4 linked regions of the Saccharomyces cerevisiae S288C genome follow. Changing the gene in region 4 together with the main gene of any one other region gives a genetic interaction. Each region holds a gene or a part of one and is shown on either strand. Other genes may lie near its edges.

Evidence for each region.
Region 1: mutations in SNX4 (region 4) and GAL2 together harm fitness more than expected from each alone (negative genetic interaction), as found in Saccharomyces cerevisiae (2 studies listed by BioGRID).
Region 2: mutations in SNX4 (region 4) and ALG14 together harm fitness more than expected from each alone (negative genetic interaction), as found in Saccharomyces cerevisiae (2 studies listed by BioGRID).
Region 3: of SNX4 (region 4) and RCY1, changing one enhances a phenotype caused by changing the other (phenotypic enhancement), as found in Saccharomyces cerevisiae (3 studies listed by BioGRID, with this or other methods).

The regions. Positions count from the first base shown.
Region 1 is NC_001144.5:288,353-292,826, forward strand, and holds GAL2 (galactose permease GAL2), read left to right. Parts: upstream 1-1,859; coding exon 1,860-3,584; downstream 3,585-4,474. Other genes in the region: EMP46 (Emp46p), read left to right, coding at 1-898; SRL2 (Srl2p), read right to left, coding at 4,042-4,474. UniProt on the Saccharomyces cerevisiae protein: GAL2 is a facilitated diffusion transporter required for both the high-affinity galactokinase-dependent and low-affinity galactokinase-independent galactose transport processes.
Region 2 is NC_001134.8:378,495-381,814, reverse strand, and holds ALG14 (N-acetylglucosaminyldiphosphodolichol N-acetylglucosaminyltransferase anchoring subunit ALG14), read left to right. Parts: upstream 1-1,880; coding exon 1,881-2,594; downstream 2,595-3,320. Other genes in the region: YBR071W (uncharacterized protein), read right to left, coding at 769-1,404. UniProt on the Saccharomyces cerevisiae protein: Involved in protein N-glycosylation. Essential for the second step of the dolichol-linked oligosaccharide pathway. Anchors the catalytic subunit ALG13 to the ER.
Region 3 is NC_001142.9:49,988-55,060, forward strand, and holds RCY1 (Rcy1p), read right to left. Parts: upstream 3,165-5,073; coding exon 642-3,164; downstream 1-641. Other genes in the region: NCE101 (Nce101p), read right to left, coding at 152-281, 425-456; PRP21 (Prp21p), read left to right, coding at 3,354-4,196; ECM25 (Ecm25p), read left to right, coding at 4,392-5,073. UniProt on the Saccharomyces cerevisiae protein: Involved in recycling plasma membrane proteins internalized by endocytosis. Required for recycling of the v-SNARE SNC1.
Region 4 is NC_001142.9:377,010-380,788, forward strand, and holds SNX4 (Snx4p), read left to right. Parts: upstream 1-1,815; coding exon 1,816-3,087; downstream 3,088-3,779. Other genes in the region: IRC18 (Irc18p), read left to right, coding at 1-327; TAD2 (tRNA(adenine34) deaminase), read right to left, coding at 3,240-3,779. UniProt on the Saccharomyces cerevisiae protein: Sorting nexin, involved in the separation or division of vacuoles throughout the entire life cycle of the cells.

The sequences.
Region 1 (4,474 bases), on a different chromosome or scaffold from region 4:
TACCGAGTTATTTGGTGGAAGTTCGAAGAAGTTTAATGGTTTGATGATATTGTTACGATTAGACGATAAGTTGGGAGAGAGCGTGACAGCGTATTTGAATGACGGAACAAAAGATCTTGATATTGAATCCTCACCGTACTTTGCGTCATGTCTGTTCCAATACCAGGATTCCATGGTACCATCAACATTAAGATTGACTTACAATCCACTAGATAATCACTTGTTAAAGTTGCAAATGGACAACAGAGTGTGTTTCCAGACAAGGAAAGTTAAATTTATGGGCAGCAGCCCATTTAGGATTGGAACAAGTGCTATCAACGATGCATCCAAAGAATCGTTTGAAATCTTGAAAATGAAGCTTTATGACGGAGTTATAGAGGATTCGCTAATTCCTAACGTGAATCCTATGGGACAACCCAGAGTGGTTACTAAAGTGATCAATTCTCAAACTGGTGAAGAGAGTTTCAGGGAAAAGATGCCATTTTCTGATAAGGAAGAAAGTATAACGAGTAACGAGCTTTTCGAAAAGATGAACAAGTTGGAGGGGAAAATCATGGCAAATGATATCGATCCATTACTCCGCAAGATGAACAAGATTGTGGAGAATGAACGTGAACTGATTCAACGTTTAAGACCACTGTTAGATCTGAAGAAAACAGCCATAAGTGACGATAGTTTCCAAGATTTTCTTTCGATGAACGCAAACCTGGACAGATTGATAAAAGAACAAGAAAAAATTCGACAAGATGCCAAGCTGTATGGCAAGCAGACCAAAGGTCATGATGAGATATTTTCCAAAATAAGTGTATGGTTGGCACTGCTGATTTTCATTATGATCACATTGGCGTACTACATGTTTAGAATTAACCAAGACATCAAGAAGGTCAAACTTCTGTAAGCTCTTGTGTCTTTGTTATATGGGTACAAGATATAAGAAACATAACTATTACATACGAAAATGTGCATGTTATCTATATCCTTCTTTATATAGATGCTGTTAACTTCTTTTTTTTTTTTTGGGAAAATCAACTGTTAAACGCGACAGTAAAAGCAGCAAAACATTAATTTTGCTTCCAAGACGACAGTAATATGTCTCCTACAATACCAGTTTCGCTGCAGAAGGCACATCTATTACATTTACTGAGCATAACGGGCTGTACTAATCCAAGGAGGTTTACGGACCAGGGGAACTTTCCAGATTCAGATCACAGCAATATAGGACTAGAAAATATCAGGTAGCCGCACTCAACTTGTAACTGGCAACTACTTTGCATCAAACTCCAATTAAATGCGGTAGAATCTTTTCACAAAAGGTACTCAACGTCAATTCGGAAAGCTTCCTTCCGGAATGGCTTAAGTAGGTTGCAATTTCTTTTTCTATTAGTAGCTAAAAATGGGTCACGTGATCTATATTCGAAAGGGGCGGTTGCCTCAGGAAGGCACCGGCGGTCTTTCGTCCGTGCGGAGATATCTGCGCCGTTCAGGGGTCCATGTGCCTTGGACGATATTAAGGCAGAAGGCAGTATCGGGGCGGATCACTCCGAACCGAGATTAGTTAAGCCCTTCCCATCTCAAGATGGGGAGCAAATGGCATTATACTCCTGCTAGAAAGTTAACTGTGCACATATTCTTAAATTATACAACATTCTGGAGAGCTATTGTTCAAAAAACAAACATTTCGCAGGCTAAAATGTGGAGATAGGATAAGTTTTGTAGACATATATAAACAATCAGTAATTGGATTGAAAATTTGGTGTTGTGAATTGCTCTTCATTATGCACCTTATTCAATTATCATCAAGAATAGTAATAGTTAAGTAAACACAAGATTAACATAATAAAAAAAATAATTCTTTCATAATGGCAGTTGAGGAGAACAATATGCCTGTTGTTTCACAGCAACCCCAAGCTGGTGAAGACGTGATCTCTTCACTCAGTAAAGATTCCCATTTAAGCGCACAATCTCAAAAGTATTCTAATGATGAATTGAAAGCCGGTGAGTCAGGGTCTGAAGGCTCCCAAAGTGTTCCTATAGAGATACCCAAGAAGCCCATGTCTGAATATGTTACCGTTTCCTTGCTTTGTTTGTGTGTTGCCTTCGGCGGCTTCATGTTTGGCTGGGATACCGGTACTATTTCTGGGTTTGTTGTCCAAACAGACTTTTTGAGAAGGTTTGGTATGAAACATAAGGATGGTACCCACTATTTGTCAAACGTCAGAACAGGTTTAATCGTCGCCATTTTCAATATTGGCTGTGCCTTTGGTGGTATTATACTTTCCAAAGGTGGAGATATGTATGGCCGTAAAAAGGGTCTTTCGATTGTCGTCTCGGTTTATATAGTTGGTATTATCATTCAAATTGCCTCTATCAACAAGTGGTACCAATATTTCATTGGTAGAATCATATCTGGTTTGGGTGTCGGCGGCATCGCCGTCTTATGTCCTATGTTGATCTCTGAAATTGCTCCAAAGCACTTGAGAGGCACACTAGTTTCTTGTTATCAGCTGATGATTACTGCAGGTATCTTTTTGGGCTACTGTACTAATTACGGTACAAAGAGCTATTCGAACTCAGTTCAATGGAGAGTTCCATTAGGGCTATGTTTCGCTTGGTCATTATTTATGATTGGCGCTTTGACGTTAGTTCCTGAATCCCCACGTTATTTATGTGAGGTGAATAAGGTAGAAGACGCCAAGCGTTCCATTGCTAAGTCTAACAAGGTGTCACCAGAGGATCCTGCCGTCCAGGCAGAGTTAGATCTGATCATGGCCGGTATAGAAGCTGAAAAACTGGCTGGCAATGCGTCCTGGGGGGAATTATTTTCCACCAAGACCAAAGTATTTCAACGTTTGTTGATGGGTGTGTTTGTTCAAATGTTCCAACAATTAACCGGTAACAATTATTTTTTCTACTACGGTACCGTTATTTTCAAGTCAGTTGGCCTGGATGATTCCTTTGAAACATCCATTGTCATTGGTGTAGTCAACTTTGCCTCCACTTTCTTTAGTTTGTGGACTGTCGAAAACTTGGGACATCGTAAATGTTTACTTTTGGGCGCTGCCACTATGATGGCTTGTATGGTCATCTACGCCTCTGTTGGTGTTACTAGATTATATCCTCACGGTAAAAGCCAGCCATCTTCTAAAGGTGCCGGTAACTGTATGATTGTCTTTACCTGTTTTTATATTTTCTGTTATGCCACAACCTGGGCGCCAGTTGCCTGGGTCATCACAGCAGAATCATTCCCACTGAGAGTCAAGTCGAAATGTATGGCGTTGGCCTCTGCTTCCAATTGGGTATGGGGGTTCTTGATTGCATTTTTCACCCCATTCATCACATCTGCCATTAACTTCTACTACGGTTATGTCTTCATGGGCTGTTTGGTTGCCATGTTTTTTTATGTCTTTTTCTTTGTTCCAGAAACTAAAGGCCTATCGTTAGAAGAAATTCAAGAATTATGGGAAGAAGGTGTTTTACCTTGGAAATCTGAAGGCTGGATTCCTTCATCCAGAAGAGGTAATAATTACGATTTAGAGGATTTACAACATGACGACAAACCGTGGTACAAGGCCATGCTAGAATAATGCGTTTGAAGTGAGACGCTCCATCATCTCTCTTAATTTTTCATGACTGACGTTTTTTCTTCATTTTAATTATCATAGTATTTGTTTGAAAAAAAAAAAAAAAAATTTCCCTTATCAATGATATCCTTACGATTATATAAATTCCTTACCTAAACCTATTATTTGTGTACATATATCAGAGTATTATTACATATATAACCTTTTTCTCTAAAACAGGAAAAAAAAAAGAAAACGATAACATGCTCTGCCATCCTTTGTTCACCGAGCAAAATTAAAAACGCAAAATGAATTGTCCCTATGAAATTATTAAAGGACCACATCACCAGACTTATCTCTGGGGGGTCCTCTAGAAAATAAGTCAGGTACTTGCCTGGACTTTCTTCCAGTTGAATTCCTGAGCTAACATACAATTAATGGAGTGAGAATGTTCGAACGATCCAGGAGTTGCTTTTTTCAGTCATTTGTTTATCAGTGTAACAAGCATTTCCTTTATTTCTTTTATATCAACCTGCAACCTATTAATATTCAATTCAACGTCTCGGAGCTTTTCTCGTACCGTTTTACCATCATCCATTTCCATGCTAACTAATTCTGAGATTACGATTACATATTGTCTCAGTTCTGGTTCATCAATGGCTGATAAAACTTTCATTACATTTTGGAAAAAATCTTCGTCATTTAGGTCTAAAGTCAGGATTTGGTTCCTTATAGACTCTCTACGATCTTTTTTCAAGTTTTTTTCTGAAGAAATATGTCCATTTTCATTAGTGACAGCGGTAGAGTCCTCTTCCGCTCGAACCAAACTATCACTGCCGGTGTTTTCCTCTCGAAAGGGTTTGTCTTTACCAATGGAAAGACGCCCGTCTTCTGCGCTTTCATATAATTTGACA
Region 2 (3,320 bases), on a different chromosome or scaffold from region 4:
GATCCGCAAGGACATCTAAAACTCGCATATTACTTAATTTTGTGTTGCGAGCACGCTAAGTGCGAATACCTTACTGTTACGAGCACCCTATATTTTTGGACGCATAAGGGGGAGGGAATAACCATCGATCTTTCTAGAAATCAAGCAATGCTTGAAAAAGCACTTTCGTTGGTTGTGGATGTTCATGTAAAGACGGTTACTATTCCGATCCAACAATGCACCTTGACAGGCAAGGTTCTTTAGGGGTACACACGGAGTTAGGGGTACACACGGAGTTGCTGCTGCCCCAGTAACATCCCAGTGATTACCAAATGAAGACACATAACCAGATTATTTTGTGCCACATTGCCAAGAAGGTAAGAGAATTGTGGCTTACTGTAAGCTACAGGTTCAACGGTGCATGCAAGATGGCCGCGTTATTTTTTTGGGGTCCCCCCCTGAGGCTTATGAGAGAGACCCATAGTCTTGTTTTCAAGGAGCCAAATTGCCAAATGAAAAGAAAAGAAAGTTAAAAATTCAATTAAATTAAACTAGGAGTAATGTTAGTGTATGTAGTAAGAAAATGATTGATGTGCGCAGAATATTGAAACGGAGACTGAAAACATTCTATTGACGGATTCCGAGCGAGAATCACGTAAAGAAGGTTCTAGAAAAAACATAAAAAAATGAAAAAACAAAGTGAGGTTGGAACTAGTAGAGCCGTTTAGGGACTCTTAATTAACGAATTGTCCAACATCAACAACAAAGTGTGTCCTATGGTAGGTTATATTAAAAAAAGTCCAACGATGTCCTTCTACTGGAACCCATATCCAGGTTGTCCAAATTTGATTCGTGCAATGTTTCGATAGACGCTGTCCTTGAGGAGGAGTCGTTTGAACAGAAGACAAAGAGAGCTTTAGAATCATCGATTGCTATTGTGTTGTTAATTTTGAAAGCGTCTGTTTTATCCATCTCTTCAATATCTTCGTACAACAAATCGTGAATGGAATAGTCATTATCTTGGGAAAATATGGAAGAGATCGAGCTCTTGGTGGAGGAAAGACTGGCGTCTGATTCGCTCCTCGTTGACTGCGTTGGTGATGGAGCCATCCGCAGCTTTTCTTCCTTTGCAGCGTTTGTTTGCATGTGCCTCATGGCCGAGTGGTAGTCTTTAAGCAGTGTTTCGTCCAGTAACAAGCTGCTCCTTTTTAACTTTGACTGACTAGATGTGCTTCTCTTATTCGTAGGAGACAGGAATTGAGAAGGAGCTGTGCCCTCCTCCTTTTTCTGCTTCGTCTTGGAGTGTCCATGGCCAAATTCGCTAGTCAGCGAGATTAGCGAACTTTTGGATCCTAAATGCATGGATTGTCTTTTCTTGGTGTCTGCGTTTGTGTTAGTGCTGGAATTTTTAGAGCGTCTTAGCATTTTACGTATTTTGTCTTTTTGTGCCGTCACAATATATAGTTGGTATGTTCTTTATCGTCGTATATTTCTCGTGCCGAGCTTGCGCCTTCTTTAACAATAAACCAAACGAATATTGAGGCTTCTTTATAACAGTTTGGCAAATAGTCAAGAATATAATGAGCAGCCAAGCGCGAAATTATGAATTCTATTAATATCCGCACTAGTGAATTCGAATACTTCCTTTACAGGTCATTTTCTCCTATTGCTCCAATTTACACTGCTGTGCTTTTTTTTTTAATTACGCGCATTAGGTAATTTTACCCCTACGCGAAAGTTAGTCGTAATTTCGTGTTTCTTTTTTTACGTGTTCTGTCTGTCCAGAAGCAAAAATGTTCTTAGCGAAGCCATCCTAATATTTCATGTACAAGGGCCCGCAATAACTGTAATCGGCGGTTTATTATTGTATCAGGAAAGTCGAAAGAAGTGACTTGAAGATCATGAAAACGGCCTACTTGGCGTCATTGGTGCTCATCGTATCGACAGCATATGTTATTAGGTTGATAGCGATTCTGCCTTTTTTCCACACTCAAGCAGGTACAGAAAAGGATACGAAAGATGGAGTTAACCTACTGAAAATACGAAAATCGTCAAAGAAACCGCTCAAGATTTTTGTATTCTTAGGATCGGGAGGTCATACTGGTGAAATGATCCGTCTTCTAGAAAATTACCAGGATCTTTTACTGGGTAAGTCGATTGTGTACTTGGGTTATTCTGATGAGGCTTCCAGGCAAAGATTCGCCCACTTTATAAAAAAATTTGGTCATTGCAAAGTAAAATACTATGAATTCATGAAAGCTAGGGAAGTTAAAGCGACTCTCCTACAAAGTGTAAAGACCATCATTGGAACGTTGGTACAATCTTTTGTGCACGTGGTTAGAATCAGATTTGCTATGTGTGGTTCCCCTCATCTGTTTTTATTGAATGGGCCTGGAACATGCTGTATAATATCCTTTTGGTTGAAAATTATGGAACTTCTTTTGCCCCTGTTGGGTTCCTCCCATATAGTTTATGTAGAATCGCTGGCAAGGATTAATACTCCTAGTCTGACCGGAAAAATATTATATTGGGTAGTGGATGAATTCATTGTCCAGTGGCAAGAATTGAGGGACAATTATTTACCAAGATCCAAGTGGTTCGGCATCCTTGTTTAAGTAAACCATTTATGTAGGATAGTAAAACTTCCAACTATTTTTGAAGTCTTATGGTGGCACCGCACCTTCTTTGATGCTTAAAATTTCCAGGATTGCTTCACAAAATATAAACAATCCGGCCAACGCATTAAAACTACCACTGCTAACCAGAAAGTAAATCAGTAAATCACTTACTTACAATTACTACGTATACAAAGCAAACAATCACATTTCATGTCTGCATAATTGCACAGTGTATGCATAATGCATTACGGCACCAAATTTGGTGTGTAAAGGATAATGCGACACCGGTCTTAGAGATTTTTGCACGAGGATTATTGCCGTACGGCTATTTGGTGTCGTCTCACTCTTCGCCGCGCCGGGACGGCCAAAAATACAAAAAAGGTCAGTCAGGGCCGGCAACCCGATGAGGAAAGGGCCCTTCCAGTAAACTTCACATTATCTTGACAAGGCATTTTTTTTCAAAAAAAGTGCATTTTGATGGACAAAAAGAAAAGAAAACCTCCAGGTTATATTCTTTAACTTGACAGTGTCTGAACATTTAAATTTTTCGAATGGGTTACCTCATCTCACCTGTTTTGGAAATTAATGTTGGAGTAAAAAAGTATATAAGATGCTGTTTTCGTATATATCCCTGTTTTGTGGCATCTATTTCATCTTTTCTCTGACCGTAAAAAAAAGCAGACCATAAAATAGTCTGAAATTAATACATAGAACCAAGCTGTA
Region 3 (5,073 bases), 330 kb from region 4:
CAATCAAGGAAATCACACATATAAAAATACTGTGGATCTGAAAGATTGGGTTTTTATAGGATAAATGCGTATAAAGGTAGATCCTAGGATTAATTATTATGGTATTTACATATCGCCAGAAACTTATATATACTCCCCTCACGCCGGATTATTATTTGCGATCGTCCCATCGCTTCTTTATGAGCTCGTGTAAATGATGACCTTGTGGACGCCCCATTTTCCTTTCGTACACATAGTAGCTGAGACAGCCTACCATAATTGCCAATAACGGATCAGAAAATCTGCAATAGAGACCAGCTTGGGAAAGAGCACATCGACTTGTTTGATGTTGCCTCTTCGAAACAGCAAATGGTTAACTATGCGTTAGTAAAAGAATAAGTGTGAAAAAAAAAAAAATAGAATAGCGTATGAAGAATGAACATACTTTCCTAATAGAAAGGGAGCGTACTGAACCATGTTATCGATGATCTTGTGTGGAATCCTCTTATAAATGGAGTGAACATTTGTATGCCCCTTGTGTGCGTGTGGCTAACAGGGAAAAATAGAGCCCGCGTAATCTTGAATAATCTAATATGTGAACAGTCTTTTATTTCCGCACTTCATACCTATATAGAGTAATATAATTAATCATTGATAGGAATTTACATAATGCAGCAATCTCGTATGCCTAGGCCGTACATTACCTTTTCAACGTCTTTCCGTACACGAACCCAATCGCTTCTCCTCTGAACAAATTCATAAATTTCCTCTTGCGTAAAAATGCCATTGAATTTCCCAAGATCAGAAATAAGCTTTCCCAACTCTTTCGAGTCCTTGCCTGAAATGATGTATAACTGGCCAATAGACTTAAGCCCAACAAAATAGGGAACAACATTTTTTTGTTTTAATTTGTTAGCAATAAAATCGTAAAAGTAATTTAAATCGCAGATTAACCAAATTGCGCCCTCCGTAGATATGAAGCACTTCTTCAGATGTTTGACGATTTCATTAAAGAATCTCTCGCCAATTTCTTGTTGGTACACGTCAATAGTACCCTTGTCTGTGGCACCAGTCAGTAGAAAGCAATGATTAGAAAGTAACTCGACTACCCTGATAGCACATTTGGTTGGCTTTATATCCCTTATTGGAGAATTCCTAGAGGGTGGCGGTGGATTATAATCGTCAGGCAATTGAAGAGTCTTGAATACAAATGAGATTTCATCCATTAGTTTGTTTATACCGATATTTAAACCTTCGGCTACAAAATCATCGATAGAAGTCTCAAAATTTTTTTTTAATTGGATAACATCATTAAGAAAATCTTTATTTTTATCGATAATTTTTTTGGGAATCAATTCGTTCTTGTAAAAAATGGAAATCATTTGTAATATTATGTCACCTATATTGATAAGTTCAGTGAATTGTACTAAAGGTTCGACTTGAGTATTGGCTGGCGAAAGTGAATTGAATTTTATTTCTATTTGTTCTATTTCGTTAGGATTATATTTTTGTAGTAGCAGGATTGCCTTTTCAAATGCAGGTTTAACGTGATTTTTATTCAATTGTGTAATTAAAATTTTGAAAATCTCTTGACAGCGTAGCTTGATCAATGGTAGCAAACTTTCAATCGTATGAAATTTGTAAATTTGATCCGTCTTTTCGCTTGTTTCCTGTAAAATTTTGTAACATAAATCGAGACTTATTAACGATTTAATGTTTTGCAAGTTATTGGAAATTAAATTTAAGTTGTAGGCTAGTTGTAGTTGTTGCTTTAGCCTTTGATTTTCATTGTTCGAGAACTTGAAAATCTTGGTGAAGGAACTTAGAAAGTCTAGTTTATCATTAGAAATATCAGTTGAATGAACTGATTGATGGATCGTACTTGGTTTTGAATCCGCTTCTGGGACAGTTTTGGAGGTTTCAGTAATTATTGAGAGGTCATTCGGCAATTCATTGTTACTTGCACTCGAAGCATCCGTTTGATCTTTTAAAGTGTTATAAATTTTTGCGTTTTGCTCACGCTGCTTGTCTTGAACTTGTGTGTCATAATTAGCTAATTGTGAGTTGATCAATGATTCAAATACTCTAGTTGTCTGATTCATATAGTTGACAACAAAGGGCTCGAGATACAGGTTTAAAAGGTCACGAACAACTTTACGGAAATTTGCGCCTGCGTTTACTGAGTCGTTTAATTCAGTATCAAACTTTTTTATAAATGTGAAATAAAGTTCGGGTACGCATTCATAATTGGCTTTACTATCCTTTCCATTTTCTTTTAAAAATTCACTATAGCTTAATAAGATATTGTTTAAAATATCTAATAAAATATCTTGGATAAAGGACTCGATGAACTGTAATATTACAGGGAACTCATCTTTGAATAAAATGTCCGCTAATTTAATCTTTTCGTTGAGGAAATCCCTTAGCTGATTGAGAAACGTATCTAAATTTTTAGAATTAAATATCACGGTACTCCCACCGCTGTCCTCTTCCCTTGGTTGTTCGGCCCAAAATAATTCATCATTAGACGGCAAAACCGTTAAACTGGGAGGCAAATCAGCCTTTGACTTGAAAAATTCGATAGCATTGCTTTCCTCATTAGATATCAATAAAATTTTCATGAAACGAGCGACGGCAGCTAAATTATTAGACTGGTAATTCAATTCTGACTCTTTGAGAACAGAATTAATGAAGATTTCCCTAAGAATGTTGAAATTAGTTTCAATCCTAGTAAATGTTTCTATATCATTTTTATTCGAGAAATTGTACTTTTTGATAAAATTTAGAATTCTTGTTTGTTTCAACGGATCGTTGGAATATGAAGTAGGAAAGAAATTTGCTAGATTATTATTATATAGCTTCCTAGCGTATGAGTTATAACAACGGTAAAATTTCACAAAGATTTTTTTAGAATTTTGAGCAGTGAAAGATTTGTATATTTCGAAGATGCGAAGGGAATTTTGATTATCATTTTCATCCAGCAACGTAATTTCTTCTTCTTCATTTGAATGCACCTGTTGGAGACCCATTCTAGTCAATTTCAATGACCAATACTTTGAATCATTTTTGCCGTTAATGATTGCATAAACCCGTTTATTCACTTGTTGAAAACTCAGATAATCTACAGTAGATAAATATGAGGCAATATTGGTTACAATCTCGGGAACTTTTAGCAGATCATCCATTTTACCGATTTCCTCAAAAGCTTTTGTTTTCTTTTGGTTTTTCTATTGTTTGTCTGTTGACCATTTTTTGATAAAATAAGAACCTTCCTTCAACGAAATATTTCGGCAAAAGTTAGCCTTGAAACACTTAAATACAGGAAGAAATAAGGTAAAGCGTAAAACTAACAGCAATAATTTGCAGTTGTATAAATGGAACCAGAAGATACCCAGCTGAAAGAGGACATTAAAACCACAGTAAATTACATAAAGCAGCATGGTGTTGAGTTTGAGAACAAACTGCTAGAAGATGAGAGATTCTCATTCATCAAGAAAGATGACCCACTCCATGAATACTACACCAAACTCATGAATGAGCCAACAGACACTGTCAGCGGTGAAGATAATGACAGAAAGAGTGAGCGAGAGATAGCAAGGCCGCCGGATTTTCTGTTCTCTCAATATGATACTGGAATATCCCGAAGAGACATGGAAGTAATCAAATTGACAGCACGCTACTATGCAAAGGATAAAAGTATTGTTGAACAGATGATTTCAAAGGATGGTGAAGCCAGATTAAACTTTATGAACAGCTCACATCCGCTACATAAGACATTCACTGATTTTGTCGCCCAGTACAAGCGAGTATATTCTTTTACTGGTCAAGAAATCAAGAAAAGTAAGAGAACCATTTTAGATAATTGTTTTGAGAGAACACAGTATTGGGAATTTGAGAAAGATAAAGACCGGGAACATGATAAGCTCGTAGAGTTGTGCAAAATACAATTTGCAGCCATTCCATGGGATAAATTTACTCAAGTGGCAAAATTTTCTATCCCTGAAGACACAGAAATCTTCGAAGGCTCTCTAGATTTAGAACAGATGAGGCTGCGAAGAGTACAAACTGGTATTAAGTTATTCGATAGTATCAAGCCGACAAATGAAGAAGAAAAGATAGTATCCGACCAAGGTAAGCAAAAAGGAGGAGATAGTAAGGGCAAAAAGCGTAAAATTAGAGCTGTGGGAGAGACAAGGTTAAAGAAAAGTAAAAAATAAGCCTCATGAAAATCAAAGTTAGCTAGAAGTATGTAAAGGTTGATGATGCACCGTAATTGAGCACATGTATCACTATTAACGGCGTACGTATTTTGGCGTTTTTTCATGTTGATGTTATTTTGTATATAGAAAGTGAAATTCTCGAGGATATGGCCCTACTGGATAATACTATTGGTAGCGTGAAAGAAGGCCAGGATGATAGATATCAACGTTAATAACATATTTTTTAGATCTTATTCAGTTGATCCTAACTCTGGTCACGCAATTTATGTCTTTGATTCGACTTATTTGCCAGCATCTGATGAAATTGGCGATAAGCAAGTTTATGACTTGCTTATTAATGCCCTCATGGATCGATTGGTAATGAAATTGCCACAGGCACCATATTCACTGGTGATTTTTTCATCTGGGTTTTCCCAGAGAAAAATAAGCTGGGTTTACGGTATTAAAATGTTTGCAAAGTTACCCAAAGAGACCAAGTTCTATTTACAAAAGATTTTTATTGTTCATGAGTCATTCTTCGTTAGGTCGGTCTATCAAGTAATTTCAAACGCTATGAACTTTAACTTCTTGGACTCAAAAGATAGTCAGCATGATTTTCCAAGTTTAGTTCATGTCTTGGACCTGACTTCTTTATCCGAGCTAATAGATATTACGCGACTTAGAATATCGTTGAACGTGTACTTATATGATTACCAGATACGCGAACATATAAATGTCCCGGAGGAATATTATAACAGATTGACCCCTCTGGCAATAAGACAGTATAGGCAGTTAGTATTCGATAAAATTTTCAAGAAATTACAGAATGACGCTCTGTTGTGTGAATTGATATTCCAGAAGCCGGGAAACTATAAAAAGGTAAACATTTTTTTGG
Region 4 (3,779 bases):
GGCCTAAACCGAGCAGTAAATATATCTCCGTTCAAGTACATAAAAAAATTCAAGACCGTTTCAACAAAGAAATTTGAAAGCCTCTTGAATAAGTATGATCTGGTTGCCAAGAAGGGCGGGGAATTGACAGAGGAACAAAAGAAAAAGAAGGAGGTGCTCTCACGGATCAGTAGAGTAGTCGCTGCAACAACGATAGAGGCTGGTCTGGCACAAGGTGTGGTTGATTTATGTATAACAGTGACAACTAGTCTATGCTTAGTCTCGGCCAGCATTGGAGGCGTCGGATTTCTTATTTGGCTCACCATTATATACCAAGCTCTGACTTAGGAAAATGTTGCCGATTTTGTTTTTGCCACTCCTGTACATTGTTTAATCTCAGATCGTTGTATATATATACATATATATAGTGTTTTAACGACATTCTTATATTTGCATTTCTGCTTCTTATTACACCTAACTATTCTGTAACTGCCATGGGTAAGCATTTTTGAAGTATTAATTAACAATTAAACTTTCAAACATACCCACCCTTTCGTTGGAATAAAAATCAATTAACACCCACTGACTAGTAAATATTACTAGAATAACTGATGATTATGCCAATTTTCTGACAGTTGTTGGGTTTCCATTGTTGACGAAGGTCCTATTATTAGATATACGGAACATACTAGATCTCTCGAGCCTATCGGAACCTACTAAGCGGAATCGGCAATATACATGTTATTCATTTTTTTCGTTTTTCGTTTTACATTATTAATTTTACGTCTCAACTTGGTTCAATTTCAGAGACAGCATCTCATCACATCTATCATCTTTTTGTACCACATAAGGTAATATACACGTAATAATAGGCAATAGATGTGTGCGAATGAACTTCCAATATAATCCATTTAGTAGTGCCTTTTGTTACTAATATTCGTCAGTTTCTCAAGCTGACACTTGATTTATTCTAAACAAATTTCAATCTTGGACAATTAGTTGACATAAACTACGTTACTAATTTTTGTTGTATTAAGGGCTTAAATAATACCGGATGTCTTGGCAATTCTATCGTTAGGAGAGTAATAGTTGTCAGACTTATTGTCGGCTTGTTCGCACATCGTTACTTATCCTATATTATACATAAGATCTGGTGAAGCGAGGAGTCCCATGTCTAAACCGATTGCTCAGGTATTTACAGGTTTAACTGCTTCATTTAAGCAAGCAATTATTGAATTATATACTCAATCTTGTCTCTCCCGTTACTATTATTTCATTCGCGTTTTATACATCTTTATTATTATAAGTTTGATACGGTAACTTTACAATCGATTAATTTCTGCTGAAAGCCCAAGCTTTCATAAATTAATAGGTTTCGTGGTCTAGTCGGTTATGGCATCTGCTTAACACGCAGAACGTCCCCAGTTCGATCCTGGGCGAAATCAATTTTTTGTTTTTTTAATTCACAAGAATAACCTGGTATTGTTATAAGCAAGCCACCCTTTGCGTACGATCAAACACCCTATAAAATCTATATGCAATACTGAGATATTGTATTTTTTCTCCTTTAATTGTTTATAGTTCAGAATAACAGTTCAAAAATCTATGCCGCGCTCACAGGGTCCTGCCGGGTATTCGCCCTCCAGCTTGAAAGGGGTGGCAATGCCCAAGAGCGATGTATAGTTTAGTATCAAGGAATTGAGAGAGGTATTACACCAAGGATTTCCGTGAACGAAGTGACGACGCAAGATTAACAGATTAAATTCTGGTAGTAGGCTAAGCCGTTATTAAACTTTATTTACGGTATACCACAATACTGCTCTTTTTGTTGAGGATATGACAGACAAAGGCAAGAACGATTTAACAAGCAAAGCTAAGGACAAAGCCAGAGGCAACCCCGAGAAGCCACCATATTGGTTTGAAATCATTGTTTCTGATCCACAAAAAAGAACTGGTGACCCAGGCTCTTCATCTGGCTACGTGAGTTATCAGATATCAACAAAGACTAACAACACGTCATTTTATGATAATCGTGGCGATCCAGAATCTATTATAGTTGTACATAGAAGATACAGTGACCTATTGCTCCTGCATGATATTTTACTCAACAGGTTCCCCACCTGCATCATCCCGCCATTACCTGATAAGAAAGTTTTTCAATACATAGCAGGCGATAGGTTTAGCCAAAGATTTACACAAAAGAGATGTCATAGTTTGCAAAATTTCCTAAGAAGGGTCTCTTTGCATCCCGATCTTTCTCAATCAAAAGTCTTCAAAACTTTTTTGGTGAGTAAAGATTGGGAATCTCACCGCAAAGTCCTCCAGGATAGCTTGCAACCAAATAAAGATGAAGTTACTGATGCTTTTATGAATGCCTTCAAAACAGTTCACAAGCAAAACGAAGAATTCACTGAGATAAGGGAGAAAAGTGATAAACTAGATCGGACTGTGACAAAGATAGATAAACTTTTTCATAAGGTTGTGAAAAAAAATGATTCGATGTCTGAAGACTATACAAAGTTGGGCAGTAATTTACAGGAATTACAAGAATTGGTCACAGGCGAAAACGAGGAACTTGCTGCGAAGTTGAAGATTTTTAATGAAGGTGTAACACAGCTGTCATATGGCTTGCAAGATCTTACAAAGTATCTGGATTACGAATATATTGTTGATTTGAAGGATCTTGAACACTACATTGATAGTATGCGACAGCTGATCAAATTGAAAGACCAGAAACAGATAGACTACGAAGAACTAAGTGATTATTTAACCAGGTCAATCAAAGAAAAAAATAACTTGATTTCTGGATACGGAGGTAGTAATTTCTTTGCCAATAAATTGGAAGAACTAGCGGGAATAAATCAGGAGGCTTCACGTAGAGAAAAAATCAATAAACTAGAAGGCAAAATAACGTCATTAACAGGTGAATTAGAAAACGCTAAAAAGGTGGCGGATGGATTCGAACAGGAATGCTTGAAGGAAATAGACCATTTCGAAAGTGTAAAAACGGCTGAAATCAAGAAATCTCTGGGCTCACTAGCGGACCATCATATCGAATTCTACGAAAGGATACTTGAAGCATGGGAAAAAGTAGACGATAGTCTATAGTGGTGCTCTTAATGTTTTCCCATTACTACTGATAATACCTTGGGCACTACGATTATCTGATCACATTTAACAGAGAAATTTAAAAAAAGAAAAATATCTATATAAAAATATGTAAATGTTGCTATTATTTTATGATGTTCTGATTTTTTTCGTCAAACCTTAGATTTCTTATGTACATTAAACTTAAACATTTTGCATTGTTCTTCCAGTTCTTGGATTATATTATCTTGGTGGGAGTCAATCAAATCCCAATCGACGCTATTACTGGACAAGTCAACTTTATTCGCAAAACAAGTCCTGTAATCATCACCAAAAGTCTCAATGAATGCTTCTTCATTAAGATACTTTGACCATTCCATAGGCGGAAACGTGTTTTTATCCAACACTCTGTCACTCTTGGACCGTGGCTTTGGCGCCCTTTCATTTTGTCTTACATAAAAGTATCTCAGCAGCATTATTGCTTCTTTCCTCAAGATCCCCGGTATACTCTCGTACCCTGCCGCACTATTGTTCTTGGGCACTAATGTACACGTATCATGATTTACTGACAAGACAGTACCGTTGCCTCCAAATCTCTCGTTGCCACAACCGAACACCACCTTTCCAATGTCTAATTGCTTGAGAGCAGATGCACACATTATACACGGTTCTACAGTAACATATAGAGTAATGTCTTTGAACACGTCAACAAC